Linked DNA regions of Coturnix japonica. The protein of the gene in region 7 purifies or fractionates together with the protein of the main gene of each other region. This does not show direct contact. Links are inferred from orthologs where the notes say so. Each region holds a gene or a part of one and is shown on either strand. Other genes may lie near its edges.

Evidence for each region.
Region 1: the proteins of NCBP1 (region 7) and KPNA3 purify together in Homo sapiens (co-immunoprecipitation; 3 studies listed by BioGRID and IntAct, with this or other methods). This does not show direct contact. The link is inferred for Coturnix japonica from reciprocal best matches to the Homo sapiens genes NCBP1 and KPNA3.
Region 2: the proteins of NCBP1 (region 7) and THOC2 purify together in Homo sapiens (affinity purification with western blotting; 3 studies listed by BioGRID and IntAct, with this or other methods). This does not show direct contact. The link is inferred for Coturnix japonica from reciprocal best matches to the Homo sapiens genes NCBP1 and THOC2.
Region 3: the proteins of NCBP1 (region 7) and ALYREF purify together in Homo sapiens (affinity purification with western blotting; 6 studies listed by BioGRID and IntAct, with this or other methods). This does not show direct contact. The link is inferred for Coturnix japonica from reciprocal best matches to the Homo sapiens genes NCBP1 and ALYREF.
Region 4: the proteins of NCBP1 (region 7) and UPF1 purify together in Homo sapiens (co-immunoprecipitation; 3 studies listed by BioGRID and IntAct, with this or other methods). This does not show direct contact. The link is inferred for Coturnix japonica from reciprocal best matches to the Homo sapiens genes NCBP1 and UPF1.
Region 5: the proteins of NCBP1 (region 7) and KPNA4 purify together in Homo sapiens (co-immunoprecipitation; 3 studies listed by BioGRID and IntAct, with this or other methods). This does not show direct contact. The link is inferred for Coturnix japonica from reciprocal best matches to the Homo sapiens genes NCBP1 and KPNA4.
Region 6: the proteins of NCBP1 (region 7) and EIF4G1 purify together in Homo sapiens (affinity purification with western blotting; 3 studies listed by BioGRID and IntAct, with this or other methods). This does not show direct contact. The link is inferred for Coturnix japonica from reciprocal best matches to the Homo sapiens genes NCBP1 and EIF4G1.

The regions. Positions count from the first base shown.
Region 1 is NC_029516.1:151,466,254-151,470,136, reverse strand, and holds part of KPNA3 (importin subunit alpha-4), read left to right. Parts: intron 1-2,816; coding exon 2,817-2,948; intron 2,949-3,783; coding exon 3,784-3,883. UniProt on the Homo sapiens protein: Functions in nuclear protein import as an adapter protein for nuclear receptor KPNB1. Binds specifically and directly to substrates containing either a simple or bipartite NLS motif.
Region 2 is NC_029519.1:14,685,228-14,689,110, reverse strand, and holds part of THOC2 (THO complex subunit 2), read right to left. Parts: intron 3,166-3,883; coding exon 3,037-3,165; intron 2,515-3,036; coding exon 2,383-2,514; intron 2,302-2,382; coding exon 2,117-2,301; intron 1,386-2,116; coding exon 1,201-1,385; intron 931-1,200; coding exon 828-930; intron 494-827; coding exon 57-493; intron 1-56. UniProt on the Homo sapiens protein: Component of the THO subcomplex of the TREX complex which is thought to couple mRNA transcription, processing and nuclear export, and which specifically associates with spliced mRNA and not with unspliced pre-mRNA.
Region 3 is NC_029533.1:4,444,978-4,449,650, reverse strand, and holds the start of ALYREF (THO complex subunit 4), read right to left. Parts: upstream 2,843-4,673; 5' UTR 2,753-2,842; coding exon 2,522-2,752; intron 2,331-2,521; coding exon 2,199-2,330; intron 120-2,198; coding exon 1-119. Other genes in the region: ANAPC11 (anaphase-promoting complex subunit 11), read left to right, coding at 2,928-3,036, 3,257-3,402; NPB (neuropeptide B), read left to right, coding at 3,544-3,741, 4,018-4,146. UniProt on the Homo sapiens protein: Functions as an mRNA export adapter; component of the transcription/export (TREX) complex which is thought to couple mRNA transcription, processing and nuclear export, and specifically associates with spliced mRNA and not with unspliced pre-mRNA.
Region 4 is NC_029543.1:2,812,454-2,816,941, forward strand, and holds the start of UPF1 (regulator of nonsense transcripts 1), read right to left. Parts: upstream 2,941-4,488; 5' UTR 2,676-2,940; coding exon 2,451-2,675; intron 1,837-2,450; exon of another isoform or gene 1,627-1,836; intron 43-1,626; exon of another isoform or gene 1-42. UniProt on the Homo sapiens protein: RNA-dependent helicase required for nonsense-mediated decay (NMD) of aberrant mRNAs containing premature stop codons and modulates the expression level of normal mRNAs.
Region 5 is NC_029524.1:19,641,622-19,646,303, reverse strand, and holds the start of KPNA4 (importin subunit alpha-3), read right to left. Parts: upstream 2,963-4,682; 5' UTR 2,727-2,962; coding exon 2,658-2,726; intron 1-2,657. UniProt on the Homo sapiens protein: Functions in nuclear protein import as an adapter protein for nuclear receptor KPNB1. Binds specifically and directly to substrates containing either a simple or bipartite NLS motif.
Region 6 is NC_029524.1:13,924,800-13,928,682, reverse strand, and holds part of EIF4G1 (eukaryotic translation initiation factor 4 gamma 1), read right to left. Parts: intron 3,651-3,883; coding exon 3,497-3,650; intron 3,411-3,496; coding exon 3,310-3,410; intron 3,228-3,309; coding exon 3,125-3,227; intron 3,007-3,124; coding exon 2,904-3,006; intron 2,246-2,903; coding exon 1,989-2,245; intron 1,897-1,988; coding exon 1,781-1,896; intron 1,640-1,780; coding exon 1,467-1,639; intron 1,339-1,466; coding exon 1,213-1,338; intron 1,130-1,212; coding exon 1,048-1,129; intron 879-1,047; coding exon 780-878; intron 688-779; coding exon 553-687; intron 474-552; coding exon 392-473; intron 323-391; coding exon 182-322; intron 81-181; coding exon 1-80.
Region 7 is NC_029547.1:62,558,831-62,562,713, forward strand, and holds part of NCBP1 (nuclear cap-binding protein subunit 1), read right to left. Parts: coding exon 3,841-3,883; intron 3,510-3,840; coding exon 3,407-3,509; intron 2,652-3,406; coding exon 2,558-2,651; intron 96-2,557; coding exon 1-95. UniProt on the Homo sapiens protein: Component of the cap-binding complex (CBC), which binds cotranscriptionally to the 5'-cap of pre-mRNAs and is involved in various processes such as pre-mRNA splicing, translation regulation, nonsense-mediated mRNA decay, RNA-mediated gene silencing (RNAi) by microRNAs (miRNAs) and mRNA export.

The DNA.
Region 1 (3,883 bases), on a different chromosome or scaffold from region 7:
AGAAAGGAATTACCATTTCTGACATATATTTTCTAAAAGTCTTTACACTAGAAACTGCACTTTTCAAAAATCCTGTTTTACAGAGTTGTGCCCTGGAAGTTTGGGATTTTGAGATTTACTGTTGGCCTTAATTTAATTTTGCCCCAATTTGTTATTTTGTGTAGATAATAAGGCTTAAATTTTGCTTAGTCCTTTTTTTGGCCAGGATCTGGTCTCTATGATCCTTTGTGGGTCTCTTCCAACTCAGGCTATTCACTCTGATATGTAATGTATAATTCTGTGTATCAGTCCAGTCAAATACTGTGATCTTACGGATAAATCTAACTTCTGTAACCTGTTGGATGCCTGAATTTGCAAGCTGTTTGACTGAGAAAATCACATAGGAAAATGTATTTACATATATTAATATTTAACTATTAAAAGTATTTAAATATCCATGCTCCTGCGCCATGGTTTTTGCATACAGTTTCAAAGTCCTAGAGAGTGGTCTGACCTCCTGAGGTCTTATATTGTAACTTTGGGAAACAAGATCTGTACACCTGAGGGATAACTGAGATGCTTTTCTGCTCTGCTTCCTATCAGCACTTTGTAATGTCTTGAATTGTTGCTCCCTGTAGCAGCACCACAATTTAAGGAAGCAGAAATTGAACACCTTGGTAGGTCTGTGGACAGGGCATGAGATTGGTGGAAATGCCTTAGGTTATTTCTTTGATAAAGTAGTGGTGTTTCTGCTGCTCTTTTACTGGTGTAGTCATTCCACAAATATTTGCAGTTTAATTTGGGATTTTGCCAGGGTTATCCCAGTGTAATGTGAGTGGGAGACAGCACATGATGACTTTACAGTCCATAATTTGGACAAACCAAAAATACTTCTAGCCTACAGGCTTCGGTTGTTTTTTGTTGCTGTTGTTTTGGTTTGGGTTTGTTGTTTTTTTTTTCCTGGCAAATTTGAAAGCTTTTTGCAAGAAATGATTTTGTGAGGGTTTCTTAAATGATATGTGGAATTACGTGGTGCCAGGTTTTGACTGGTCTCAATGAGTCCTGAGAGTCAGGTGCTGGCTGGAAATACCAGTATGGTCCCAGCCTCTCAGTACTGGAGCAGCAAACCTCTCTTTGGTGATGAGTTAGTGATGCAGGTGGGTCAGCAGGCAGTCCTGTAAGCTGCTGCTCTCATCATCACCAGGGCTGTGGGGCAGGAAACTGGTGAGGCACCATCTCTCACTGCTTCTGCTGTGATGCTGCCTCCACTGCAGCACGTTCTGCTGTCCCTGTGGCATCAGCAGGTGTGAGCAGCAGCAGGCTGCATCAGGAGAGCAGTAAGTACATGCAGTCTGCTCTCTGGAGGTGGGTGGAAGCCACCCACCATAGGCTTATGGGGCAGGCCCTTCTCACACCTTTAGTACTAATTAGCTGTCTTAATAGCTGGAAATTTTGAATGGCTCTGTTTGAAAAGTAGAGTGCAGATGCCTTTACCTAAATAGCAGGTGAGGTTTCTTTCAGTTAAGCTGTCAGAGAGATGAAGCTGGCTCACAGATCTCTGGGTATGCCACATTGAGCCATTCTCATCTGATGCTTCCTTAAATCTCAGTGAGCTGGGCCACTTTTTTGCTCACCATGAGACACTCTGGGCACAAACTCTGCCTACGAAGCCTTCAAACACTGCTTCAGACCATCTAACCTGAGAACATAAGTAAGATGCTTGGATTTAGAGCCTATTGCTCTAACCTCTTTCTAGTGAATCAGATGAGAGCCCTATCCAAAAGGTCGTTCGGTTCACAGAATAGAACAGATGTCTTAGCACACAGAATATTAACTGGCAGAGTAGGCTTACTGTGCTCTTAATTTAGACACTTCACTTAGGTGCAATGAGTTCAGGCTTTAGTCTTAAAATTCCGGAGAGTAATTGCTTTGCTTTAGTTAGCATGAGAAATTGACTTAGAAATGCCCTCAGGAGCATCCAGGCTTCTCTTCCTGCAGTTCTTAACATCATCTCCAAGTGACAGGACATTACCTCTTTTTCTGCTAGTTTTGGTTCTGCTTCAAACCCTACCTTTAAAATAACTAACTTTTGTACCTTTCCTTTTTTTTTCTTTCGGAGGGCTCTCAAATCATCCATACCAAATCACCAGTGACTTCACTGTTATTTTCTTTAAGTGTGTCCTGTGTGATAGTCATTTCCTTGTGTTTATTCCCTTCTCTTGAACAGTTGCCACCTTAAAATAAGTGTTAGTCATTTAGCTGGTATAAGAAAGTTCTTTCCTTTGCTGTAGATTTAAATCTCAATATGAAGGATAGTTTGTAGTTTAACTCCATACTGCACAGTGGATCAAAGGCACTAAAGTGTAGCTAGATGACTTTAAAGTCTAAGGACATTTAACTTATGTATTCAGAAGATAGTACATCTAACAGATGAGGGCAGGGCCAAGAAGTTGAGTCACTGTTGTCTTCAGAAAGTTACTAGCTCAGTTACTTCACTGAGCCACTCATCTGCCTCCAAAGTGCAAATCAAAGCCAACAATTTACCTTTGTCAGGTGATGTGTGCTGTAACTGTGCACCAAAATGCGTCAATTAAAAGGAAGAGGATGTAGAACTTATTATCACTGAACAAATGGCCCCAATTTTCATAGTTGTATGTAATAATCCAACATTTAATGCATAAGGTTGCATTGAAATATTTGAGTTTTTCCTGTAACTAAATTGTAAGGTTTTTTTTTTTTTACCCAGACATGTGGAAAATTATTGCTAAATTAAGATTCAGTGTTATGAATTTTGCTATTTAGTGTTTAAATGATGTTACGTTCTTTCCAACTTTCAGATACTTGTGGACACCGTTTGGGCTTTGTCCTACTTAACAGACGGTGGCAACGAGCAGATACAGATGGTGATTGATTCAGGAGTTGTACCTTTTCTAGTTCCCCTTCTGAGTCATCAGGAGGTCAAAGTTCAAGTAAGTCTGCCTCAGTTTCCTTGCATAGTCCTTTGTAACCTGTTTGCTTATAAATTACACCTTGGAGTATTTACTACTGGGGTTCTGAAATGACCATTGTACTACAGCCTTTTAGAATGTTAATATCTTTGAGTATTTTTAGTGAATTCCCAGTTTTCCACATAAGGCAGGTTCATTGATTTTTAACACAAAGGGAAGCTTTAAGTTAGTTAATGAGTGCTTGGTTTTTATAAATGAACCGTTGGACTGTGGAAGCTTCTGCGTGTATCTGTGCGTTTGCCATATTTGTTTAGTTTGGACTTTGGATGAGGGTTGCCTGGCTCAAATTTTGTCAGACCAGTTCAGTTGATGGAAAGGAGTCTCTCCAGTTTTCAATCACCCACAAAACGTTTATTAATTCCTAAGGGTATAATGCACATGTTTGAAAGTCAACTGAGAGTAAATAAGAATATAAGTAGTCTTTTTTTCTTTATTCTGCAATAGAGACCTGAATTAAAAGGCACACAACAGCCATAGTCAAGGCCTAGATATGTTGGTTGTAATTCAGATCAGATACATGATGAGTTATTTCTTTTGTTATCCTAATCTCTTTTTAGTTTCTAATCTTTAAACTTCAGGATTTGATCTGCAGCGTGCTTTATAGTAAAATACTGGACTCTGTGTTTCTGTTTGGATGAAACAGTGCCTGCTTTAGAGTGTAGCTCAGAAGCTGTAGTGCTAAACACTCTTCTGCAGTGTTTTTGTAGAGAAGCTTTAAATTATCTTTATTTTAACATAAGTAACAGCAACGTTTTTAACGCACAGTTTTTTTTCTCTTCCCACTTCGCATGTTCAGACAGCAGCGCTGAGAGCAGTAGGCAACATAGTAACTGGTACCGATGAACAGACACAAGTTGTTCTCAACTGTGATGTTTTGTCTTACTTCCCAAACCTCC
Region 2 (3,883 bases), on a different chromosome or scaffold from region 7:
TAACAACATGTTATTACTGTCTGTGTAGCTTCCTTTATTTTTCAGAACAGACTTACCCCTCTCACATTCTGATGCTTCTGATCGGGGAACAGGAGACTTCAAGGACCCAGCTACTGGAATCTTTTCTCCTCCTTTAGTATTTTCCTTGGATTTCATATCCTTTGCTACATCTTTTTCTCTGGATGGCTCCTTTTCTCTCTCCTTTTCTGCAACTGACTTTGACTCAATGGTTGTAACAATTGTCTTGGATTTTTCTTCCTTTGAAGCTTTTTCTTCTTTCTTGGCCTTCTCCTTCTCTTTGTCAGATTTCGGTGTTTTCTCCTTAATCTCTCTTGGCTTATCATCTTTGTTTGCCCGTTCTTCCTTTGGTTTATCTTTCCCATCCTTCCCAAGTGCCTTCGTCTCTGGAGTGGTAGCTGGAATCTTTTCTTTCTTTTCTTTCTCTTTTTCCTTCCCACTTTTTTCTTTATCATCTTTCTCTTTAATAATTTTGCTGCATCAAAAACAAAAAGGCCAATTAGCAGACAAAAAACTAGCTTGCGTTATAGGCAAGTCTTACTCCCGATTTGATAGAACTTCTTCAATCATTCACTGCCAGATTATTTTGCTGTCACTTCAACAGAACATCAACAAGAGTACTATCTTGTTTTTCATTACTTAACTAAAACAGAATGTATTTTATACATGCATCAGCTTAGAACAGCTATATATTTTGGCAAAAATCTGATGTAATGGGAAAAAGTTAAACAGCACATGAAAGGACTGAAAAGGTAGGTCAATTTCAAAGAAGACAATAGAGCATATCAAGGAAGGAGTAGATTTCTCACCTATTAGAAGCACTGTTTCCATTGCTTGTTGTCACCTTTGGTGTAGTGTTGACAGTTTTATTAATGACTTTCACAGTACCCTGAGACTTCTCCTTTAGTTTATCTGTTTAAAGAAAGAAAACAACTTAATTACAATAACATACGTCTCAATAATAAAAACAAGTATCCCAACACAAATTCATGCAAAACTACATTTAACTAGTAGTTAAAGAGGTAAACACAGACTACACTCCTGCAAAAATCAACCACCAACAACACAAAGAACATATAATGCACAGACATTAAGCTCACAGAGATTTTTTTCTTTTCAATTTAACAAGTTTTGAGACAGTAGCTTGTAAATATCATTCAACTAAGAATCAAGTTTGTTTACCAGTCTCTTCAGCAGAGCTTTCCTCCAGTTTCGCTGTATTTATTGTGAGAGATGTAGGCATCCCAGCACCACCTGGCCCATTTTGTACTGTTGCAGCTACAGCATTCCTGGCAGGTGGGTCTTTGTGGTGGAATTCATTTTCAGGTATCATAAAAGGCTTCCTACTTTTCAACTGCCCAGAATAGCTGCAAGTCGCACAGATTGTTAAATATGCACAAACAAAGCAAAATATGGGTTGAATTTTAAATGAGGACTTAATCTAACAGTTCCGTCTGTTACTTTTCACAGTTTTTCCCAACTGATATGCAGTTTCTTCCCCCTTTATCATTCAACTCAAAGTAAAAAAAGGAAAAAAAATTAAAAGAACAAACAAAAATAAAACCTCACACAACAGAAGCAGCCCTACCTCAAAGCCCTCTTTGCTGTTACCACCATCACACACACACACTCCTGCCAAACACACAAAAAAATAGCCCACTATTAGCACAACCTTAACTACCACTCAAATATCCATAGATGATTCTGCACTTAGGCATATGAAAAACTTAATCAAGCATTTTAGAACTCTATTATCTTCCAAATTATGCAATCTTGCAACAATAGCCCTTGGCTTTCTCCACTTTACTCCCCCTTGTATCTATCTGCTGTTATACTATCTCTCTATAACGCAGCTATGCTCTTGTGAGTGAAAATCTTTACTATTAAATGCATTTTACTAGAGTCTTGAAAATGAAATTAGTATTCATCCAGCACGACATGAAAGTTTTCATTCACAATGCCAGCCCTGAGATGCGGGATAGTGAAATCTTCTGTGATAAGGTAAAAATCAAATATGTTAGGACTGTAAGAGTTCCAAGTCTTTAGAAGCCTTTCATGATCCACTTTTAACCACTTTCTTAAAGTAAGGTGTTGTTACCCCATAGCCAATGCATATAGATCAGGTCTCTTCTCTTTCTCTTCCTGACATATCTTATGTACTCTTCTTTCCAAGGCTTGGCCCAGGTTCAACACTTTTGGATACCATGGAAGGATTTTGGTCAGCACAATCAGGATATTTCTGATATGTGTATATTCACCAGTTTCAAGGCAGTGTACAGAAGCCTAGAACACAAATTAAAACTCATCAATCCTTTTCATTAAAGATTCAAAAAAAGAATTGCATTTTTCAGCATCTTTAATTACCTTAGTTAACTTATAGTGCCATTTGTGTACCACGTGTCTAAAATTCTCATAATCCAATTGATCAGCTTTATTTCCACCATCAAATCCAGTTGCTCGTAATATAGTTAGGAAACCTGGATAGTTGCCACATTCCTATGTGTGCACAAGATAAATAAAAATTTACTATTTAAAATACAAATATTTTCCAGGATACATTAAAAAAAAACCAAGAATGTTGTAATAGTTAATATAATCAAAGCACTTCCTGGCATACAGACTAAGACAGATTCTGTAAGACTTATATCCTCTTTTTTCTTTTTTAAAGCTTATTTATGTTGAAGCCTTTCTTGTGGGTGAGGAAAAGGATTATTTGCAATTTAACTAGTTTTTGCAAGGAGTCTCCATATGCTACCTAAATCTTCAAGAAAAACTATGAGAAAATCAAAATTCATTTCTTTTCCTTTTGGCGCTATGCAAAATTAACTCTGTTAAAAACACACTGATTACAAAATCCCCATCCTAACATAAGGCCATTGGAAAAAAAAATAAAAATCAAACGACAACATTTTAAATCAAGTTAATGATTTCAGTGAATCCGGTTTTACTGGGGTGTATTATACAAGAAGTCATTATATAACTCTTCATGAACAAACAAGTTTTAATAGCTTCACATACCTTCTCATATATGACTCTGTCACTGTGCCATCTAGTCACGGTCTCCAGCATACAGCATAAAAACCTGCCATATCTACTAGCTTCATTTTCAGTACAACTTGCTACTGTATATATAATATCAGAGAAAACCTGTGAATGGCAGCAGTAAAAAGTTACTTTAACTTCAATGAATTACAAACAAGGATTATCAACAATTTCAAATTGTTCTCACCTAAACTACCGTTGCTATGGTTTTTAAATTCAGAGAAGATTACAGAAATATTTAGAAACCAAATTAGATTTACACAGAGAAACAGGAAAAAAAAGGAGGTCTTGTCTGCTAAAGCTTCTTAGCGAATATCCTGTTTGTTTTCAGGACTTTGTTATCCAATTACTAGATCTGAGCCAAGACTCCAGCTGCTGCATACATCTGCCTCTGACACAGCCTTCCATAGGCGAGGTGCATCTCCATTGGAATATAACTGTTTGGGCTCTAAATTGATAAATTGATTTGAGTAGGCAGAAATAAACACACAGAACACAAACTGTATCTCTGAGTAAAACCACTCTTTTGGACCAATGAAATCAGAGCAGATCCCTACTTCAAAAGTCTCAAAGGTAACCTGACAACTTTTAGTCAAATGTTCATGCAAAAAACAAAAACTCTTCACTATAGTTTTCATAATGAAGCCCCACACAAATTTGTTGCAACCATACAGATGATTGTTAATTATTAACTAAATAATCTGGCTTCTTTGAGCAGAAAGCACCAGAAAGGTTCTGAAGTCACAGAATAGTACAGTGAGCCAGTTCTGCTGGAGCTGTTTGATCCAGAAAATCAGGTTACTGCAGTCATCAGTAACACTTG
Region 3 (4,673 bases), on a different chromosome or scaffold from region 7:
ATAGCTTTCAGAGCATCTGCTTTCCTTTCAAAATGCACATCTGCTGTTCCTAGACTGCGTCCGGATCTGTCGTAGTGCACTGCTGCCTTCTTCAAGGTCCCAAATTCCGCAAAGAGTTCCTGAGAAACAGAGGGAGAAGTGAATATGCTTCAGTCAGCTCTGCAAACACCGAGCAGCCCAGAGAAGGTGCAGGCAGCTCCTGCTTTCAGCAATATCATGTACATTCCATGACACCACGCAAATAGCACCAGTGAAAGAAGGAACACAGGCCACTAAAGACTTCCAGAAAGCAGCCACAGGTGGCAGAAACAAACAGGATTTCATATCCACCACTTGAAGGGTGCTTGTATACAGCCAACAAAGTGGCCCCAAGGTATGCTGACCTGCTCCTCTTCCCAGGGACATTGCCAGTCTGTATAAACTGAAAGCAGGAAATCTTCTACTGAAGAGCATCGTTTACCATCACGAGCGATGGAAGGCTGCAACAGTGGAGCCACCCATTTTGTTTCACAGAGGCTACATCTAAGATGTACATCTGGGGACATCTCACTACTTTGCAAGTTTATACCTACACCCCACTCTTCAAATGTTTGAAGCACACAGAATTGTCAGGTGTCCAAAGCAGACACCACAGGCTGCCTTCCATATCACCTGCAGCAGAGCCCAAACACTATTCCAGCCATCTCTATAATTCCTATCCAAGCATTTGAAAGGAGCATATAAATATTTTCACTTCTTAAGCCAGCTGCACTTTATGCAAGCCTGTCAGTGAGTTTCTCTACTGTGTCCATTTACTAAACATGAACATACAGCACCCAACAAGCTTTCTGGAAGACAGCACCACATGGGAGGAGAGGTGCTCCATCACATCCCTGTCCTGCAGAGAAGCTGGAGCCACAGCACCACACATACTCCTACAAGAGCAACGTGAACGAGGCTCCCACCAAGCCCCTCATTCCTCAGCACTGAGCTGAGCAGAACCATATTAATGACACAATCAGCACAGAAACAAAGAAAACAATCAGTGCAGCTTAGTGGAAAATTACGGGATGGGCAGTAACAAAGAGGTACAAACCCATTAAGTCAGCTTTGCTGCTACATATAATATACACAGATGTTTGTCTGCTCCTGCAGTTCAAGCCAACTGTGAAAAGGAAACATTCAACTGCCACACAAAACACATTAATTCCTTACATTGAGATAACTTTACAGATTCACTTTTACACGTTTGGGCCTGATTACAGCAAACAGGAAATGTATATCAACTGAAACTAAACTCACTTGAGGAAAAAACAGTGGTTTTAAGTGCATCGCTCAATAACTAGGTGACCTAAAAAAGCTCACTTCCAATACTCCTGATGCAGACAGGTTGAACCGGAATGAATTAACAGAAGAAAACATAGAAGTGATTTAGTTATTTTTTTCTAGAGGAGATGCAAGGACCAGAAACCATCCAAAGCTCTTTGCAATGTGACTAAGTCAGGAAAACCCTTCAGATTGGATGCTCCTTGGATCTGCAGATGTTTCTGCACAACTTGTTGCCCACAAGTAAGAGCAGCCCCACAGCTGTGACTGCTGTGTCACAGGCACAGTGACTGCAAACAGCCTGCACCCAGGGCACAGCTGGAACAAGGGATTGAGCTGCAGCTGGTAACTCAGCTAGAACATTTATCTGTCATAAGATACATGTGGTAATTGTGGAAATGACAACATGAGCGAGCAGGTACCCCCTCACAGACCAGACTTCTCAATATCACTGGTGCTTCTATAAGAACACCTTGAGACTGAACAAAACTTTAACAAAAAGTACATAAACAGGTACTATGAAAACAGCGCCAATAGATGTATATATAGAGCTACTGAACGTCTGGAATTACACAGACCTTAAAAGCTCACACAGCCTGTGCTAAGCTCTGCAATCACAGCAGGACTGAGCGAAGGCAACATCCCCCCCACAGCATCGTGGTAGAGATATTTCATATGTGATTACCTACAGCTCCATAAAGACTGGGACTCTTCTGAATCCAGCCACTCCAACTGCTCAGCTCAGAGCCCCAGCAGTGCGTGAAGCAAAGGGCCAGGCACCGTGTGAAGGGCCCTTCCAATGGGAGCAGGGCCAGCAATGCTCTATGGCCACCCCCAGCACCCAGCACCGATGGAATGAATGAAACCCCCCGGGAACAGCGCCGAGCCCGTACCTGGATATCCGCATCTGAGACGCCGAAGTCCAAGTTGGAGACGAGCAGCTTCCCGCCGGTCTCCACCCCGGCGCCGGCCCCGAAGCCGCTGTCGAACAGATCGTGCTGCCACTTCTCGGGGAGCTGCTTCGGCTGGAACGACACGGACGTTTCGCTGAGCGCCGCCGGGTCCCGCCGGGACGGCTCGACCGCCGGCAACGGACAAAGGGCCGCCCGTCCCACCGCCCCCGCCCCGTCCACGAACCGCCGCCCCCCGCCCCGCACACCGGCCCCCTCCCTCCGGGCCCCGCCGACCGGGCTCCGCCCCCGCCCCCGTCCCGTACCCGGCTGTACGGCGCGGGCCGATTCCTGCCGCCGCCCCGGGCCATCACCGGCCTGTTCCTCACGGGGCCGCCGCCCGCTCGCCCGGCTCCCACGCCGCCCCGACCGGGCCCGCCCCCGCGGGTGACGCCGCCTCGGCCCCGGCCTCCCCGGCCGCCGCCCCGACCGCCGCCGCGTTGGCTTCGGTTGAGCTTAATGATATCGTCCAGGGACATGTCCATCTTGTCGGCCATGATGGCGGCTCCGCTCCGGGGCCTGCGCTTCCGGCCGCGCTGCGCCGACGCCGGAAGCGGAAGAGGCGGGACCGGCGGGCGGAGGCGCGCGTTCAGATTGGCGGGGCCTCGTGGGGGCGGCGGGCGGTACTTCCGGCGGGGCGGCGCGGACCGGAGAGCGGCACTTCCGGCGGCGATGAGGGTGAAGGTGCGGAGCTGGAGCGGAGTCGCCTCGTGGCTGTGGGTGGCGAACGACGAGAACTGCGGGATCTGCCGCATGGCCTTCAACGGCTGCTGCCCCGACTGTGAGTGCGGCGGGGCCCGGCACGGTACCCGGTCCGGTACCGGGTATGGTACTCGGTATGGTACCCGGTATGGTACCCGGTCCGGTACCCGGTATGGTACTCGGTATGGTACCCGGTCCCGTACCCGGTCCGGTACCCGGTCCCGTACCCGGTACTGTACCCGGTATGGTACCCGGTCCGGTGCGACCCGGCCCTTCCTGACTTTGTGTCCACGCCGCAGGCAAAGTGCCCGGGGACGACTGCCCGCTGGTGTGGGGGCAGTGCTCGCACTGTTTCCACATGCACTGCATCCTCAAGTGGCTGCACTCGCAGCAGGTCCAGCAGCACTGCCCCATGTGCCGCCAGGAGTGGAAGTTCAAGGAATGATCCTCCCCGCCTCCTCCCGCCGCTCCGGTCCCGGTTCCGTGGGCGGGGAGCGGCGCTTTCCCTCGTGCTGCGCGGCGGGGGCGGCCGCGGCCATAAAGACCCGGAGCGGCCGTTCCGCAGCGCTGCGCCCCCGCCGGCACGATGCGAGCCGCCCGCTGCCTGACTCTGGCTGTAGCCGTGATGCTGCTGTGCCGCCCCGCCGCGCCCTGGTACCGGCAGGCGGCCGCTCCGCTCTCCTACCCGGTGGGCAGAGCCTCGGGGCTGCTCTCCGGTCTCCGCCGCCTGCCCTACAGCCGCCGCTCCGACAGCAGAGGTGCCGCTGCTCCGCTCCGCACCGCGGTGAGTACCGGGATGCTCCGCTCCAGGAACGGGCTGGTACCAGGAATGCCCTGATTCCAGCAATGCCCTGATTCCAGCAATGCCCTGATCCCAGCAATGCCCAGATCCCAGCAATGCCCTGATCCCAGCAATGCCCTGATCCCAGCAATGCCCTGATCCCAGCAACGCCCAGATCCCAGCAATGCCCTGATACCAGGAACACCCACCTGCCCGGCTCCGCGGGCAGCCCTGCTCCAAAGTTCCCACCCAGGAATCTCTGTGATACTTTCCCCACAGGTGCCGTGTGTGATGGATGTGGACCCCAAGCTACGGAGCTGTCGGCTGCTATCGGGAGTCCCCGGTGCTCTGCAGTGCAGTGTGGCTGTAACCGTGTCCTTGGGCTCCACAGAGTGTGGGGGGGCCTGAGGTGGCACGGTGACTATAGTGACAATAAATGCACGTGGAATGGAAAGATGTTGTCTGTCCTTAAGGGGAGGGAAGCCTTTGGGGTTGGGGGGAGCCCACCAGGATCTGGGGCACACAGGGGTGCCCTGAGCAGCAGTGCCCACCCAGAGCTGTGTGCCCTCTGGAATGGGTGGGAGTTTGGGTAGTGCCACAGGCACTGGGGGATGGAGCACAGCTTGGGGCCCCACTGCTGAGCTTAAGGTGAAAAAAAAACAGTGCAGGGAGAAGGAATCCATTGAAATTGATCTTCCAGTGCGTGGAGCAGCCCAGCTCTGAGCACAGTGCCTGTGAGCAGAGCTGCTGCAGTGGGAAAGTCTTCCACATGGCTGAGGATGAATCCCCTACCCCTCCCTGCCATGTCTTCAGTTCTCTGAGTGATACAGGAGACAAATCTGAAGCTGGGGGGTGTTGTACAGGTCAGGGTAAGCCAAGCTGAGGAAGGATTTTACCCTGGGGTGGGAGATGCTCTGGGCTGAGGTCAGGGGAAG
Region 4 (4,488 bases), on a different chromosome or scaffold from region 7:
GCACCCCAGCACTGCTCAGCACACACAGGACACCCAGCTCAGGTAAGTTTTTCTCATGCTTTAGAAAAACAGGCACTTCTGGATTTGCATAGCTAACTATTTGTTGCTTGTAGAGACTCCTCTAAAGCTGTGTAACATTCGCAGCGCCTTATAATATGCTGTGCTTGTTTGATCTGCCTTTCAAAACAAGGGAAGGCGCGTTACTGAGAGCATCCAGCCTCACAGCAGCACAGACTGAGCTGTTTCACAACGGTTCCCCATGCTCAGGGCAGCCACCAAATGGACTCACAGCAAGAGCATGGGAGAATGTGCTTCCTCCTCCTTACCAGAGCTGAGTCCTGGCCTGAGGGAGCAGGGAAACGCCGTGGAAACGATCAGAATTTATCTTAATCCAAATCAAATATGCTAATTAGCTTGTCTTAATCATCAGAAAACTGTATTTCCATTGCTTATAGAAAACAGCAGGCGCTGCTCCTGCACTGCTTAACCTCTGCCTGCCTTTTGTCACTCAGGCACTAATCTGTGCTAACAGCATCCTCTTAAGCTATTAGTTAAGAATATGCTGAGGAACAAAGCTTTCAACGTTCAATGAACCCCATTTTCTGAAGAAATGAAGGGATCTGCACTGCTCAACTCATCTTATTTCAGTCCACAGGGTACAAAAAAGGCATCAGAAAATGGAACGGGAGTTAATATCCCTTCAATGTTTATCAGGATAAGATTTACTCACAATCACAGTAAAAACTTAAGCTAGGCAAAAACGTATGCAACCTGTGAGGCTTAAATTTAGCCGTGTTCCTTCCAAAAGGCATTAACGAGCTCACATCATCTATTCAAGGTAGTAAAACCTCCCTGAGAATCCTTCAAATGGTCTATTTCTGATCTCAGTGCTGATGAGAACATTGAAAAGCAAAGGTCCAAACAGAGCAGGGGCTGTTGGGTTACAATGAGCTCCAACATCACACTCACTGTGCTCCTGAGTCCTTGTTGGAACAGCTTCCCCCATCCCAAATTCAGAGAGTATGGGGATAACTGCAAAACTCTGCCCTGAACTAAAAGCACTCAGCCATTCCCAGCCATTACCAACATCCTCTGCTTCCTGCCTGCCAGGACGGATGCTTACAGACACGCTCATACCTGGATGTGCTCCCCACATCTTCCTTTTTCCCCTTCTTACTTCAAAGGCTTTTCAAACATGTTTAGACAAAAAGAGAAGCAATCCTCTGGCCTCATCTTTTACACTCATAGACTCATTTTGGGGTGGTTTTTCTTCCTCTTCTGTCTAGGCACCTCTATACTGAGAGTTCTGGAATGATCAGAGCTTTAAAAACTAGGATTTCAATCCTAATATCTTTTTAATCAATTAACACATAACACTGACTACAAACAAACCGCTTAACAACTGCAATTCAAACGGGAAAAAGGGCTGTTTTGCCCCAACAGAGCTACAAGTCAACACACAACAAAGCAAACAGCCCACGGGAGCTCAGCTCTAATTCCACACCATGAACACTGCCCTAAAGGGAGTTCCAACACAGCACCATATCTGGGCCCACCTGCACTGCACACCTGAAGGCTGCCAGCCATTCACTGCTCTAAGTTTGCTCATTTCTGTGTCATTTACAGATCAGCCTTGGAAAAATGAAGTTAAAGAACTGAATCCCCCCCCAAGTGTTTTTGAAGCAGGATGAAGAGCTTTGATCTACAGCACTTCAACTCCTCTAAAGGCACATCCTGGAACGCAATTTACAAACAATTGTTAACGCTGAGATCACTTAATATAACAATATATCCTAAGATATACAAAAGCAGTCCAGCTCTAAACAGAGCACAAAACAGCCTCTCAGGTGTTTTTGGGCTTCTTTTTTCTTGCTTTAGTCAATCAAGCAGCGTTTCCTTTTACAACACTTCTTGGTTTCTGGCTGCACGGCCCCAGTTCCCTCTTTCCTTCCGCATCTGGGAACTTTTTAAACCAGAAACGCGGCCCTCATCAGGCAGCGTTAAGAATACTCCTATTTCTCAGCCTCGACCAGCTCCGCACACCAACCAACACCAATGGGGCGCTATGGGCTGTCACTGCCCTACAACCCCAACAAACAAAGCCGCCTGGCAACCGGTGGCAAAAAGGCAAGAAGGATCTCTTGGGAAGGAACGCTCCGTTTTCACAACATTCAACACCTCGTAACTCAAACAAGAAAACAAACCCAAATCCTCCCTCCTGGGCAGCGCTCCTCGCTCCATATCGCGACTATCGGGATATGCACGGCGATATCGCGACTATCACGACACTATCACGACATTTAACCGTAGGCCCCGCCGCCTCCTTCCGCCTCCCGCCCAGTGTTTCCCCGCTCGGCCCCACACCCGCCCGCCCCTTCCGCGCTCCCCCCGGTGGCGGCACCGCCTCACCCCACCCCGCTCCCCCCCCTCACCCCGCGGCTCGGCCTCACCTGGGCCTCGATGGGGCCTGCAGGGCCCTGCCCCGCTCCCGGAGCTCCTTGGGCCTGGCCGGGCCCCGCCTGCCCGGCTCCGGGCGGGGTTTGAGTTTGGCTGGGGAGGGTGAAGTCGGTGAATTCGAACTCGGATCCTTGAGTGTCGGCACCGAGCAGCTCGGCCTCCTCCGTATCCAGGAAGGTGAGGGTCTGCGAGCTGGGGCCGTACGCTTCCACGCTCATGGCGGCGGTAGAGAAGAGAAGCGGCGCTTCGGGCCGGGCCGCGCCTCACGGAGCCCGGGCGCCGCGCTACGACAGCGGCGGGATCAGCCGCGAGCACTAGGCCGCACCCCGGAAAACCGGCCTTTAAAGAATCCCCCGACGCCCCGTTCGGGCGGCTCCGAGTCGACGGGAGGAAGGAGCCGAAGGAGGGAACCGAGAGTCCCCGGAGGAGCTGAGAGAGGAACCGTCCGGCCGCACCGCGCGCCAGGCCAGGCCAGGAGCGGTGACGCGGAGCGCGCAGCGGACGCCAGCACGCCCCGTGCGCGTGGGCGGGTGACGCAGCACGCACACACCTGGGAGGGCACGGCGTGAGGGGGCGGGGCTACGCGCGGAAGGCGCGAAGAGGGGAGCGAACCACCTGAAGTGTGGGGGGGGATTGAGGGGAGGACGCGGTGCGGGCGCTGTCAGTTCGAGCCTAAAGGAGGGGTTGCACCCCCCCCCACTACAAAATGGGCTCTACCGAGAGGGGGCGGGGCCTGATTGATGATTGACTGCTGATTCAGCCAATGAGCCCTCGAGCTGAGGAGAAGGGCGGGCTGCGGTGGCAGCCTTAAGATCTACCTCAGATCTGCTGTGGCAGCGAGGTGTTGTGTCTGTGGTGGGGAGGTATACTGTAATGTTCTGAAGCAGGTGATTAAGAAGGCTCTGGTGTTATAGAAACACCTGCTCCAGCTGTAATATCCATCGTATCTAAGCTGCCCTGCGTGGCTGTGGTACTTGGGGGCTGAATGGGAGCAGGGCGGCCTGTGAGGCTCCCTGTGTTGTGTGGGTATGAGCAGTATATGGTCAGGCCGTAAATAAAGTGCTCATTTGGGCTTTATATGCCCTCAATGTACTTCAATTAGCATCAATTCAATTAGCATCACACTCATGTCTTTTAAGGTAACACCCAGGTGTTGTGAGAAGTGCTGATAGGAGAAGCTATTTTCTCTATTGAAAATAGAGAAAAACAATAAAAAAATAGAGAAAACAATATTGAAAATATTGCAAATATATTGAAAATAGAGAAAATATTGTTGTGTTTTCTCTATTGAAACCTTCAGCCATAACATGCACGTGAACGTTGGTTTTTTAAGTGACTTTAATTCTGTTCTTGCTTTTGTTGCAGGGTAAAGCTTGGAATGGAAACAACATCTGCCACATTTAAAGCTTTGAAGCTGAAAAGATTGAAATGAGGATTGGGAAAGATTTCAATGCTCTGAGTACAGGAGGGGGAAACAAAGATGGAGAGAATACAGGACTCACTGCATCTACTTCCATATGGTTTGTGTTCACGTTGAGCTTGAAGCTATGAAGGAACAGACTTAGCAGTAGGTAATCATAGATGTATCTTAATTCATTAAAGTAGGTTAATTAAGCAAAAAAAAAAAACAAGAAAAAATAAATTTGGTTGTAAATTTACAACTGTCAAATCAGCTACAATTTAATGTGGTGGCATCAAGGTAAGTAAGTGTACACCCATATATAATTTCATACAGTACATTGAGACTTTTGATTCCTGAAGTTGAATCACAGCTACATTAAACCCACTTGTAGTGTGACTATAAAGCATCCACAGGTGAACTGAATTGATATTTCCTTAAAACCAGAAATGATCTGGTTTGTAATTCAGAGAGAAGCATATCTGAATAAACAGGAAGTCTTATTTGAAAATGGGATCTGCTTTGAAGATTGTATTTATAAGACCAGGCAGGTTGTTTTGTATGGACATTTTTAATGAATAAACAGACCATTCTTGCAACATTTATCCAGTTTACAGAATCATCAGGTTTGG
Region 5 (4,682 bases), on a different chromosome or scaffold from region 7:
TGTAAGTGGCTGCTCCTGTAGCTCTGTAAGGCCACCTCCTCCAAGCCACTAAAGTGCAATTCCTCCTTTCTGGTGCTGACACTCCAGCCCTAGAAGAGCTGCACAGCTCCATGTGTGTGTAAGTTGCAATGTTCACTGCTACAGAGCTCCTGCCTGCGTGCTGGCTGCAGACTGATCTCTCCTGCCACAGGACCCTCAGATACCGAGTATCATCAGCCTTCTACGATTCCTTTATCCAGCACTACAAATAAAAGGCAGAACAAGCAAACATTTTGTGTTCCTGCTCACAATGAACCCCTCTATTCCTACTGTTGTCACCCATCTGTCATTTTAAAACACGTGGCGGCAATTGTTTACAATGTAACATGCCCGTGCACGCATGTTTACCCAATACTTCAGTGCATGAAGGAATTATGCTAAATATCATTATGTAAAAGGCGTCTTTTTGTTTTCCTTTCTTCAAGGGCAGCCCTTGTGCCTTCAGAAGCCCACTGAGAAAGCCTGGAAAGTGAAAATAAAACCAGTGTGAAGAATCCAAAGAGTCAAACACACACTCAGCAGCTCTGAAAACGCTGGAAATCCCCCGTGATCTGCAAGGCACAATCACCTCCCTGCAGCTGGAAGCTGAACACACAGACAGCATCAGCTCCTATTCAACACCTCGCCATGCTCAGCCCAGTGACTATAAGCAAAAACCTTCTTTTCTTTTCAAGTCTGCACTTTGCATCTACCCCCAGAGCTGCCCAGTAACTCGGCATCCCCCAAAATAATACCCAGCATAACTGGTGGTTTGTTTGGTACAGCAAATGGAGGCAAACAGTCATAGAAAAGAAAGATCCCGAGTGCTGAGTATAAAACCGATGGGTAAAAGCACGGTTTGAGCAGAGGTTAAATGGGGGAGGAGTGAAGGAGGCAAGATGAGGGGAAGAGATAACGATCAAACACTGGCTGCCAGTGTGAAGTAAATAGACATTTTCCAGCTAAAGCCGGGCAGGAACACACGTGCCATGAACCGGCTGAATAGCAACTGTTGCTACCACAGGATACTGAGCTGTGAGAGGGCCTGGCAATACCTCACCTCTAACGCAAAACACAGCGTGTAAGCAGGGAGAAAATCAGAATCAGAGCTGGGAGCCTGAGCTATTGTGTGAAAAATAACCATCCACAGCGGTTATTTTAGGCAGCAAACGTAAGTTCCAAGAGTCGTTGGGTAGATGTCAGTATCTCAAATTTAACACGGCCTGGGAGTGCTGCTTTCACTGCGCAGGACACTGAAACGCATCAGCAAATTCAGAGAAGGACCAGAGATTGTCTGCTCCTTCATTCACAAACACCTGCAATAACACACACTGGGCGTGATGCTCCTGAGCACGGAGCTGACTTGCCTCAACCCCCAGCATGGAGGCACCAAAGGACAGAAAACCCCAATGAATTCCTGTGTTGTTTTTATCCCCCCCGCTGCTGCTTTCATTTTAATGTTAGCATAGATTTCCCTGAGTGTCCTCCCAAACTTTCACTCCTTTTGCAGTTTTTTATTCAGCAATAAAAAAACATTCATACACAAAAAAATACCTGAGGCAGGAGTTACCAACAGAGCCAAGGAGCCATGGACACATCTTTGTTTACCAACAGCGCAGTCACTGTGGCAATTGTTCCCATTTCTACCTCTTTTTGGCACCACTGGATGTTGTAACTCCATAATAAACTGCCTGATCCAACAGGAGCCAGTGATACCTCGAGTGGGAAACACGGGTGATGCTTTCGCAAGTGACAGCGATATAAATGCAGCCTTTACTTTTCATGTGGATGAACGGGGCACTCAGCAATGCACAAGAAGGCCCAGGATGTCATGTCACTGTAACCATAGGGACACGCAGCGGGGCCAAACATCAAGAGAATGTGAAGGCCAGAGCCCTGAGCTCAACCACGGCCTCACACTGCCATCAGCACACAGAGCCTCCCCCAGGGCCGGGAGTGATGGGCGAGACTGATACCGAGCACCAGGATCTGCATATCTGCTGCAGAAAACCCCATTAATTCAGTCCCGGAGCAGCACACACAGGGATGGAGGAACCCACCCACAAGTTCAGCACGGCACGCTGATCCCACGACTGCTTCCACACAGCGCTACGAGAGCGATATGTGCCCCGGATAGGGAAAGAAACAACAAGAAGTGATTTAAAACGACGTTTGGTACAAAGCGGAGCCGAGGAGCCGCTTTCTCCGCGGGCCCGGCCCTGACTCATGTTTTCCATGGCCGAGATGAGCCGCGGGGCCTCAGCGCCGCCTGGTCGCGCAGCGCCCGCAGGGACCCGGCCCGGCCCGGCGCGTTCATGGAGCCCCGCGCTGCCCCTCAGCGCCTCCACCCCCAGCGGAGCCCAACGGCCGCACCCGAGCGCGCAGCGCGGCCTCTCCCTTCCCTTCCCTTCCTTTCCCTTCCCTTCCTCTCCCTTCCCTTCCCTTCCGTTCCGTTCCCTTCCCCTTCCTCCCGGCCCTCCCTCGCCGTGCGGGCGGTGCAGGCCAAGGCCCCAACGCGGGCCCCTCGGCGGCGGATTAGGAAAGACGCCACACGGCGGCCCCCTCTCCCTCCCTCCCTCCTTCTCTCCCTCCGTCCCTCCCGCCGCCATGGCCGGGCGGCCCCTCCCGCCGGGCGGTACCTCCAGGTCACGGCCTTTGTTCTTGAAGTTCTTCAGCCGCTGGTTGTCCAGTTTCTCGTTGTCGGCCATGGCGGGGGGGAAGGTGGGAGGGAGCGCGGCTGCTCCTCCGCCTCCTCCTCCTCCTCCTTTCTCTCCTCCCGGACCCGTGGCCCTGTAGCTCCGACCCACCGCGGGCCGCTCTCGGCAGCGGCCGAAGGGGCCGTAGGAGCCGTGCGGGCCGTGGGCGCTGCCGGGGCCGTGCGGGCTGTGCGCGCTGTGCGGGCTGCGGGCGGCGCTGCCGCTGCCGGGCGCCGAACGAGCCGGAGCCGGGGACGGGCAGAGCGGGGGGAGGGGAGACACACAGCCTCGCTCTGGGCCGCACGGCACAGCGCGACCATTGGACGAGCAGCCCGCGGCAGGCGGCCAATGGGAGCGAGGAGGGAGAGGGCGGGAGCTGAGCGGCGCCGTGACGTGTGAGGTGACGGGGAGGGGGGGGAGGGGACGGAGCCCTTCCAGGAGCTTCGGAGCCGCCATCTTGAGCGGAGCCACGGGGCGGGGGGGGCTGGTATCGCTGTTTAATCGCAATGAAACCACCCAGAGCTTGTAGTAATACACTGTGTGTTAGCTCCTTGTGGCCTGCCAGGATAATAATAATTAATATTAATGACAAAAATATTAGCTCTGTGCTGCACAAAGTGTTGGCAGTTGGAGAAAGTCTTCCCTGAATTTGTATTGTAGCAGCAAAGAAACACAACTTGAACTAATAATGAAAGTTAGAAAGTTACTGCTCAGGGTAGTGCCTGGTATATTCAGTCTCCATAAATATATCAGCATATCTCATCTTACCAATATGTAAACCATCTTTTGTTGTTTTACCAATATATAAACCATCTTTTGTTGTTTTACCAATATATAAACCATCTTTTGTTGTTTTACCAATATATAAACNTTTTGTTGTTTTACCAATATATAAACCATCTTTTGTTGTTTTACCAATATATAAACCATCTTTTGTTGTTTTACCAATATATAAACCATCTTTTGAAGCTACAGCTGTAACTCCTGCGCGTTGCAGTCTGGTATACAAGGAAGATATTTTCTTTACGTGTCTATATGGGATATTGATAACCACAGCCTGATCCTCTGATCAATGAGCTGAGCCAAGTGTCGGGTCAGCTGTGGGAGCACAGGTGAGAGACATGTAGCTGTGCTCCTGGAAGGGATGGAGCTTGAAGAGAATCCAGGAAGGAACACCTAAAAACAAAAGTTTAACAGCTTAAGTATTATTTTAAGTGAAAACTAGAGGTGAAGCACTGTGAATTTTGACTGATTAATCTGTGCAGTTAACATTTTACTCCTGCTGAGGAAGTTACGTGCAGACAGAAGGAAATAAAGGCTTTTCAAAAGTGAAACTGCTTTGGAGCTTGGCAAAATAGTTAAAGTACAGATATTGAAGAGTTGCTGTAACAGAATGACATGAAATCATTGGTCTCAGAGGCTGTTTGGTGCCTTACAGAACTATCGTGAACGTGCTGGTTAGTTGTAATGTCCTTCCATGGAGGAACAGCTGCTGAGTCCCAGGGAAGGACTTTTGCAGAGTGGTTTCTATAAAGTTGCATCCTCAAAGTGTTTTCTCTGTGAACCAGGACATTAATGCACAATTGAGGCTCCGTCTCTGTAGAATGTGGTCACTAATAATGAAACTGGGCTCTGTTCCCCTGGTTTCTGATCATGCCTTAAGATGACAAGCAGTCAGGCTATGAAGGTGAGGAACACACAGCGTCTAAGGGCTGACCCAGAAGTTTATGAAAGGGAAGAAAAGTTTTATCCCCTAGTTACCATTTCCTTGTCTTTACTAACCTAAACAGGCCGACTTACCACCTCTGCCACCTCCCACTGTCCCCACACTGAGCACTGACTGATTACACAGCATGTAGTTTGGGAAGGATGGAATTGGAAAGCCAGAGCATTCTCTAGTGACCAAAACTGACTCAATGCCCCAACAAGTAACAATGACCTTTCCATTAAATCATCTCTCTTAGCACT
Region 6 (3,883 bases), on a different chromosome or scaffold from region 7:
GCTGGACTCCCACTTGTAGAAAGCCTCCTCCTTGATGACGTCCTCATCATAGAGAGCATCGAAGAACATCCGAAGCAGGTCTGTGTGGAACAGAAGGGAAAACAGACACCCTCTGTTAGCAAGGACACACCTGCCACCCCCAAAACTCCCTACATCATCCATCCCTGTGCGTGACACTCACTTGGAGGCTGGTCCAACTTCACCACCAAAGCCTGCAAGGCGTAGAGTGCCTGAAGCTCCTTCTGCTCATCCCGCATGTACTTCTGCAGCAGCTTGGCCCGGTTGCGGATCACCAGGGCATCCACACGGTACGGGTTCTCAACTGCAGGAGAGTAGGTGTGAGAGGGGGCTGCAAGGGCTTACCAGGCCCCCACCTCCCCCCAGTACTCACAGATGATGGCTGAATGGCACACAGATGTCATCAGGGCCCTGATAAATGTGTTGGACGAGACCTGCTGCTCACTTAGGTTGGCCTGAAGGAAGGAGGGAAGGGTTATGAGATGTGAATTGAGCAAGGAGGATGCCTTGCAGGCGTTCTGCCCTCACCCTCACCTCAATCCAGTCATATATTCTTTGGTTGTTCGAGTTCTCCTTCAGCAGTTTGTCCATTTGCTTGCACAGCTCCTCCGAGGTCAGCTCCTTGCAGCTTGGCGTGTCCGAGTTGTCTCCCATCGTGTACTCCAATTTCTGGGGGACACAAGAGAGATAATCTGTTAAATGCTATGTAGGGGAAAGCTGCTCCCAGCAGCAGGGTCTGGGAGCCACAGTCCAGCTCTCACCTGTTCTGTGACGAATTTGTTGACATCCTGGTCCTCAGGCAGGAATTCCTTCCAGCTCAGGCCCCCATCTCGCCACAGCTTGCCCGCAGTCTTCTGGCTCTGCAAGAAAACCTCAAGTCAGCCCTCAGTGCCACTGCTCCCCATCCTGCAGCCAGCTGCCCCAGTTACAGCAAGAGGCATTGCCCACCATCATCCTCTCTGTATGCAAAAGGGTTCAACCCCTTCCATGAGCCAGCCCCTGGCAACTATGCGAGCAGCATGCACTTACCATGCCCTTGCACAATAAGCCCAGCACCTCGACCAGCAGTGTGGTGGCCTTCCCAAGGGGCACCAGGGGCTTTGTTATCTCCCTGTGGGGCACAAGCAACATAGTTGTCACCACTTGCCCCTACCAGGACCCCACAGCAGCCCTGAAAAGGAGTACAGCCCCTACCTGAACAGCTCCTCCATTGGGATGCCTTCCTCTTGCAGGATAGGTGTTATGAGCTCGGCGAGATACAGCCAGATGTGCGGGATATCAATCTCCATGTCTTCCGCAATCTCCAGGATCTCCCGCAGCCTGGAGGGCAGAAAGGGGGTATTGGGATCAAGTAATTCCTGCGCCCTCAGCTGGGAGGAGCTTTGGGAGAGTTGAATTCAAAAGCAGGTCAAATGATGCTTTGGGGACAAGCTGCCTCAGCCCCTCACCCTTTATAGTACTGCTCCTTGGAGAGCGTGCCAGCCTTCACCAGGTGGCACAGCAGGATCCCCATGTGCTCGCGGGAGATCGTGCTCCGCTCAAGCGTGGACTCAATGCCATTCCGCACGAAGACGTAGAGCAAGGAGGGGCTGCCCAGCTCCTGCACACACTGCAGGGCCTCCTGTGGGGACAGAAGGGTCAGTGCTGCCCCATAGCCAGCCCCTGCTCCTCATCCTGGCACTGCCAGCAACCTGTCCAGCAGCAGTGCTGCCTGGAGAAGCAGATGACATCCTGCGGGTGCCTGGCCACCTCCTCTTCTCACCTTCATATCATTGATGTGCAGATATTCCTCTATGATCGCCTTAGATTTCTTCTCCAGCTCCTCCTCTGACAGCATGGGTTTGGGCGATGCCGCAGGAGGTGCTGGCTCTTGTTTAACTGAGAAGAGCAGAAGGATCAGGCGCCGCTTGGGACCAGCAGAGCCTCAGCCCACAGCCAGACTCCAAGGACACCTCTCCTCCCCAACTCACTTGTCTCTCGGCTCCTGTCCCGTTCCTCTGACATACTAGCAGTTTTGCGCACAGCCTCAGGGCCACTCTGCTTTTCCCGTTCTCTACTCCTGTCCTCTGTCTCTTTGCTGAAGCTCCTCTTGGTGACAGCAGACCTGTTCCTCTCTCCCCGCTCACCCCGATCGGGACGCTCCAGACGGTCGCTGCTCTTCTCTGAACGTGACTCCCGGTCCCCTCTGTCTCCAGCCTTTTCTGACCTGTCGCGGCTGGAACTGCTCCTGGGTGGAAGGAGGAAGAACAGTGTGAAAAAGTCCATTGCTACACTCCTCTGACCCCAAATTCTGCACAGTTACGCAAGGCAACGCTGTCCTACTTCAATTCTCAGCCCTCTCCAGTTCCTCCTCTACTACTCTTCCCTCATGGGAACACTCCCTGGTCCAAAGCCCCACTGCCATCCTTTGCTCTGACCTTCAGCAACGCTGAGGGCAGTCGGCCTCCATTCTCCCCACACCACCCCTTGCTGCAGTAGGCTTATTCCTTCTCCTGACTGAACAAATTCAAGTGTCTGGGATCTTGCACTTCAGCTCCAGCTACCCCCAGTGGTCTTTGTAAGAAACCCCCGGGCCCATCCCTGGATGTCTATTCCTGGTAGCCCCAGACTGCACACAGCACCCAGATGTTGTCCTCCAAAGTGCCAAGCTACAGCAGAAAGATCTGCCTTCCCATTTCTGGTGGTAATGGGGCTTGTGCAGCTCAGAACAGGGACTGCCTTTCCCACAAGAATGCAATGATGCCATACCAAGCCCATGCCCACAGACCCATCCTGCCACAGAGAATGACTCCAGCCTGGACATCAGATTCCATTTACCCACACACCAACCGACCACTGCCCAATCTAGGGAATGTTCCCCAGCCCACCAGGTGCAGCACACTCACCTCTGCACCACGCGACGGGACTCTGAACTCTCGGCAGGGGTGGACTGTTGGAGTGCTGAGAAGCGATTCAAGGTGCTTGTGGCCGGTCGCCCTGAATCAGATGCTGGGCGTGAAAAGAGGGGAGCCTCAGAGTTCGGCATATCCCCAGTACAGGAACCACTGGGAGAAAGGGTTCCCATTCCCATTCAGTGGCACCAACAAGCCGGCCCCATGCCACCTACCTGAATCTGCAGGCTTTGCACCAGACCCTCCACTACTGCCTTTGCCCCAGCTCAGACGCCCGCCTGGCGCAAAGAGCTGGTTGTTGGAGTCGATCAATCCAGGCTGAAGGCAGAGAACAGAGTCAGCTCCGAGCCCTGCACCAAGACTGTGGGGCAAGGCAGCCCAATGTTCTCCCCAGCCTCACCTTGGTGATTTTCGTTAGCCGGCTAGTGTCGATAGGCCGGTTGCCCTTGCTGATGGGCACAGTGTTCCAGCCATCATCTGCAACCAGGCTGCTGCGTCCACCTGGTCACAAGGGGACAGAAGTCAGGCACAGCCCTACCTCAAGCAGTGATAGGGTAACCAGTATCTGGTGGTCCTAAGTCACTCACCACTGATGGATGGTCCAGGAGGTCCTCTCCTTTTGTCTTTTGACATGAGCTGCTGCACTTTGATGTGTTCCCGATGCTCCTCCATCTCTGCCTCTTTGTGGATCTGGTCGATGGTTTTGGGGCCCTGATCTCCTCGCCGTGGCACCCAGCTATTCTGCAGAGGGCAGAGGAGCAGGGCATGGGGTACTCAGACAGCTGGAGGACGGAGGCAGCGACATTTCCCCCTTCCAATCTGTCCAGTCCCCAAGGCCCACCCACCTCAGCTCCCTGTGTGCTGTGGCAGCTTTTGGCACAAAAGGGCTCCATTTCAGGAGCTCCCTGCATTAAACAGCTGCCAGTTACTATGTGCCCACTACCGCTGCCATGCTAACCAAGGGCTGGGAGCTA
Region 7 (3,883 bases):
TCATGTGCAAGCTCCGAGGAGAAGATCCAGTTTGCTACTGCAGCACAGTCAACGATTTGTGTCCGAATCATCTTGTCCACAAGCACAGCGATCATCTGTATTTTGTGAAAGACAAAACTGTCATTTCTACCAAGATAAGAAAAGCCAGCCCAGGTACCCCAGCCTTGCATAAAACCAGAAACAGTTTGATGAACTCAACAGCAGTATTACTGGGTGATTTTAAAGTCTTCAGAAAACCAGTGCTGTCTAAAAATGACATCTGGTTTGTCTAGCCTAAAGCTACTTAAAGGATCAGTATCAACTACCTAAAGCAAGCATTCTTATTTTGATTAACAGTTTCTTCTATTCCTTGTGAAAGTAACAGATCGTTCTTCATTAGCATAACTACCTTTTGAAAACAAAAAACACAAGCATCACGGCTGGAAGTGAAGCAGCACAGACACAGCTCCAAATATAGAACATCAAGGTACTCAAACCAGAGCATACACAACTGTCACATCACCAAAGAGAAAGAGCAGCTGTTGGCCTACACTCTCCTTGAGACGCAGTAGTTTTCAAATATGGCAGTAACCTCTTTCCTGCAGGTACTATTGCATTTTAGGACAGAGCCAATATTGAAGTGCTTGTTGCAGGTAGTGCTATGATTCCAGGGGCTTTGCAAGTAATCCAGAAGGAAACTGCAGAGAAGAGCTGCAGACTAAAGCAGTTACAAGCTGTTCAGAAAAAAAGGCTTATCTTGGTTACTCATGTGCTTGAATGTCACAACGTCTAAGAACCACAGCCTGCAATGCATTTATCCTCACAACGACCCTCTGACACATAAGGAAGTGTAACAAAGCTCCTTTTAAGGAAGGGAAGTTAAAATAACCAAATGAATCATACAGAAGACTCAGGACTCAACTTTCACATCCCAGGATAGCATCTTATACTCTGTGTGTCTTCCTGCAATGCCAAGAAGAATCTCTGATTACTTCCCCTGATCTTCCAAGGAACAAGCTTAGGATTTTGGGGAAAACATCTCATCTTGGTGTCAAAACTTCTCCTTATGAAGTCACCACCACAACCACACTAAACTAGACCAGTGACTACCAAAATGACCATTTGCAACATGGCCCTCAATACACTGACAGCTTAAAGGACACCAGAAGATGTTCCCATTTACAGCAGAGTAGGGTGAACAGGAGTAGTTTCCTTCAAGGAAACTGGCTCTACTAGTGCCAGTGTGCCAGAGATGTTGTGGACACAGACAAGACAGCACCTGAGCAGCAGCAAAAGACTCAACTACAGTACATACAGGAAAGGAAATTTAGGTTCCATGGTCAAGGCCTTCAAAACATCAGCACTTGGTATTCTTTTAAACACAGTTTCAGTTTATTCATAGAAATCTGACCTAACTGTTCATTATGACTTTAAAGCCTCCACCACAGCTTGGTCATACTGCAGTACAAAGGAACAAAGAGGAAAAGAATATGGACATTAGACTGCGGTAATGTAATTTCTTCTGATCCAATTAAAGTAAAAGGAGGTCAAGATTGTAATCATCACATTTTCAAGGTCAGTATTTTGGGCAAGAAATCTAATATATTTAAAAAAACACTAGTTTTTGATATATATACATATAACACACACACTTAAAAAGTGGACTTGAAGGATATCTATACAAGGTGCCACTTGTCTTTTAGGCACTAAATTTCCTTTAGGAAACATGGAAAACAGACCATAGATTTAGCAGCAGATGCAAGGATTATCCCCTGTTCACAGTGGAACTGTTTCTTAATGTCTGTACAATGCAGCCGTGAGGTATGCTCCCCTTTCTAATACAGTACCATGTAACTCAAGTGCATCAGTAAGGAACACAGAGTTAACACAGGCAAATTCAGTGTGAGCTCCTCATTTTTATTTCTATGTTTAGAAGAATGACAGCTGGGGGAGAAAACAACTGCTGTGAAGAAACATAACTGTTTAAATAGCTGAGGTGTTTTCCATAGGCTTTCCAGGGTGCTCTGATTCAAGAATGAATGCAATCATGCCTCTGCAGTCTGACTGCTCCATTCTGAACAGTTACTGACTGCAGCTCTGCTCATTCTGCCCATATGCAACAGCAACTTCAGGTTGATCTCTGTGGAGTAACTGCTTAGCTTTTGCTAGCAAGTGGAAAAAGCCTAAAGGCCAACCAGGTTTCCCCGTTTCCAAGAATCTGGCCTGCTTTTGTTACAAGATCAACATCCTATTTCAATTCTAAGCATCAACACCATTTTCCAGTTTTGAACAGAAACAAGTTCTCTTGTATGACAAAGAGCACAGCATGAACCCGAGTTAGAATGACACAGCCTTTGCTCTCCCACAAAAGTAACACTGAGAAATAGAATATATACTATATGGCAGTTTATCTCCAACCTTCACTTTAAACACTTCTAGCAATGGCAAACAGAACTTGAACTTTCCTTGATATAAGGCAAAGAAAGTTTTAAAGTACATAAAAAGCAAACTGTAATGCTTTATTTAACGTGACCTCAGAGTTTAAACTCAACTAATGATTGACACTGTAACGCCTCACCTGTGGATGGTTCTTCCAGACCTCATACACAACTCTCAGAACATGGAGTTTTCCCTCATCACTTTCAGCAAGTGTTTTGAAGACTTCATGAAACCTTTTAACAGACGTATATCAGTCAGTGGAGGAGCAGGGCTCAGGTCAAAAGGCTATCTGACATGAGTTAAGTGGCTGAGATTGTCCAAAAAAGAAAGTTTTGGGACTTTATACAGCAATTCCTGAACAACTCCTAACAGGAAAATATAACCATTGGAACATTTGAACTAACAAAGATATACTCCTAAAAGTAGCTTAAATTTCAGTGGTGAATCTTCTCCTGGAAGGAGGATTGTATTTGTCCTATTCCTAGAAGTACAAGGCACACAGAAATGCTTCCTGTGCTTACCTATGCTCAGCTGGGGCAAAATGTACTCACCTCGGCCTGCCTCTTATACTACTGACTGCAGGTTAGCACCTGCAGTTTATTTTAAGCATGCCTGTAAAATGCTTCCATGTACAGGTTTTTGTATCAATCACATACTTTTACTGAGGAACAGAAAAGTAATTCATTGAAGTGCATCTGACTACTGCCTTCCTGGGTCATAAACACTTAATATCTCCAAAGCACAAAGTATTAAACTCAGTATGACATATACCTTTCTGTTAACTCCATATCTTTCATTTAACATTAACAATATTTCTGTTCCTTCAGTAAAAGTGCCACTAGCTCTCAGAGTCCTACTGCATTGAGAAGTACCTAAAACATTGCTGAAGCTTGCAGGTAATTGTTTTTTTTAAATTTTTTTTTCATCACTTCATTATTAGAACCAAACAGCTCTGTCAACCCTCAAATAGTGCACATGTTACACTTACTTTGCCAGGGCGCTGAAGGAGTGGCTGAAAGACTTTGCAGCTAGATGGAGCAGAGTCTGAACAAAGACTTCTATTTTCAAAGGATTGAAAGTAAATCCTTCATCTGCAAATTATTTAAAGTTGATACTGTAAGTATTACATATAAAGCAGTAGAGATAACCAATGGTTTTAACTCATTTCATGGCAAAGATTTGGCAATAAGGCCATGCAAGGCAGAGAAGGGAGCTGGCAAACAATTTTACATTTATTTTCCTAAGCACTATCCATGTTGTGAATAATCACACTCCCATTTTGCCATGGCACTGTGTGCTTCTATCTTGGGAGAATCTTCTATGGAAGATTAGCCAGCATTCAAGACATCTTATCTGCACACACAGCATATAAAGTGTATACAGTAACTACAGCCTTGCAAAACCTAACAGAAGACACCTTACCATCATCATCATCCTGGTTTGGATTAGGCACATCTTTTAAAAT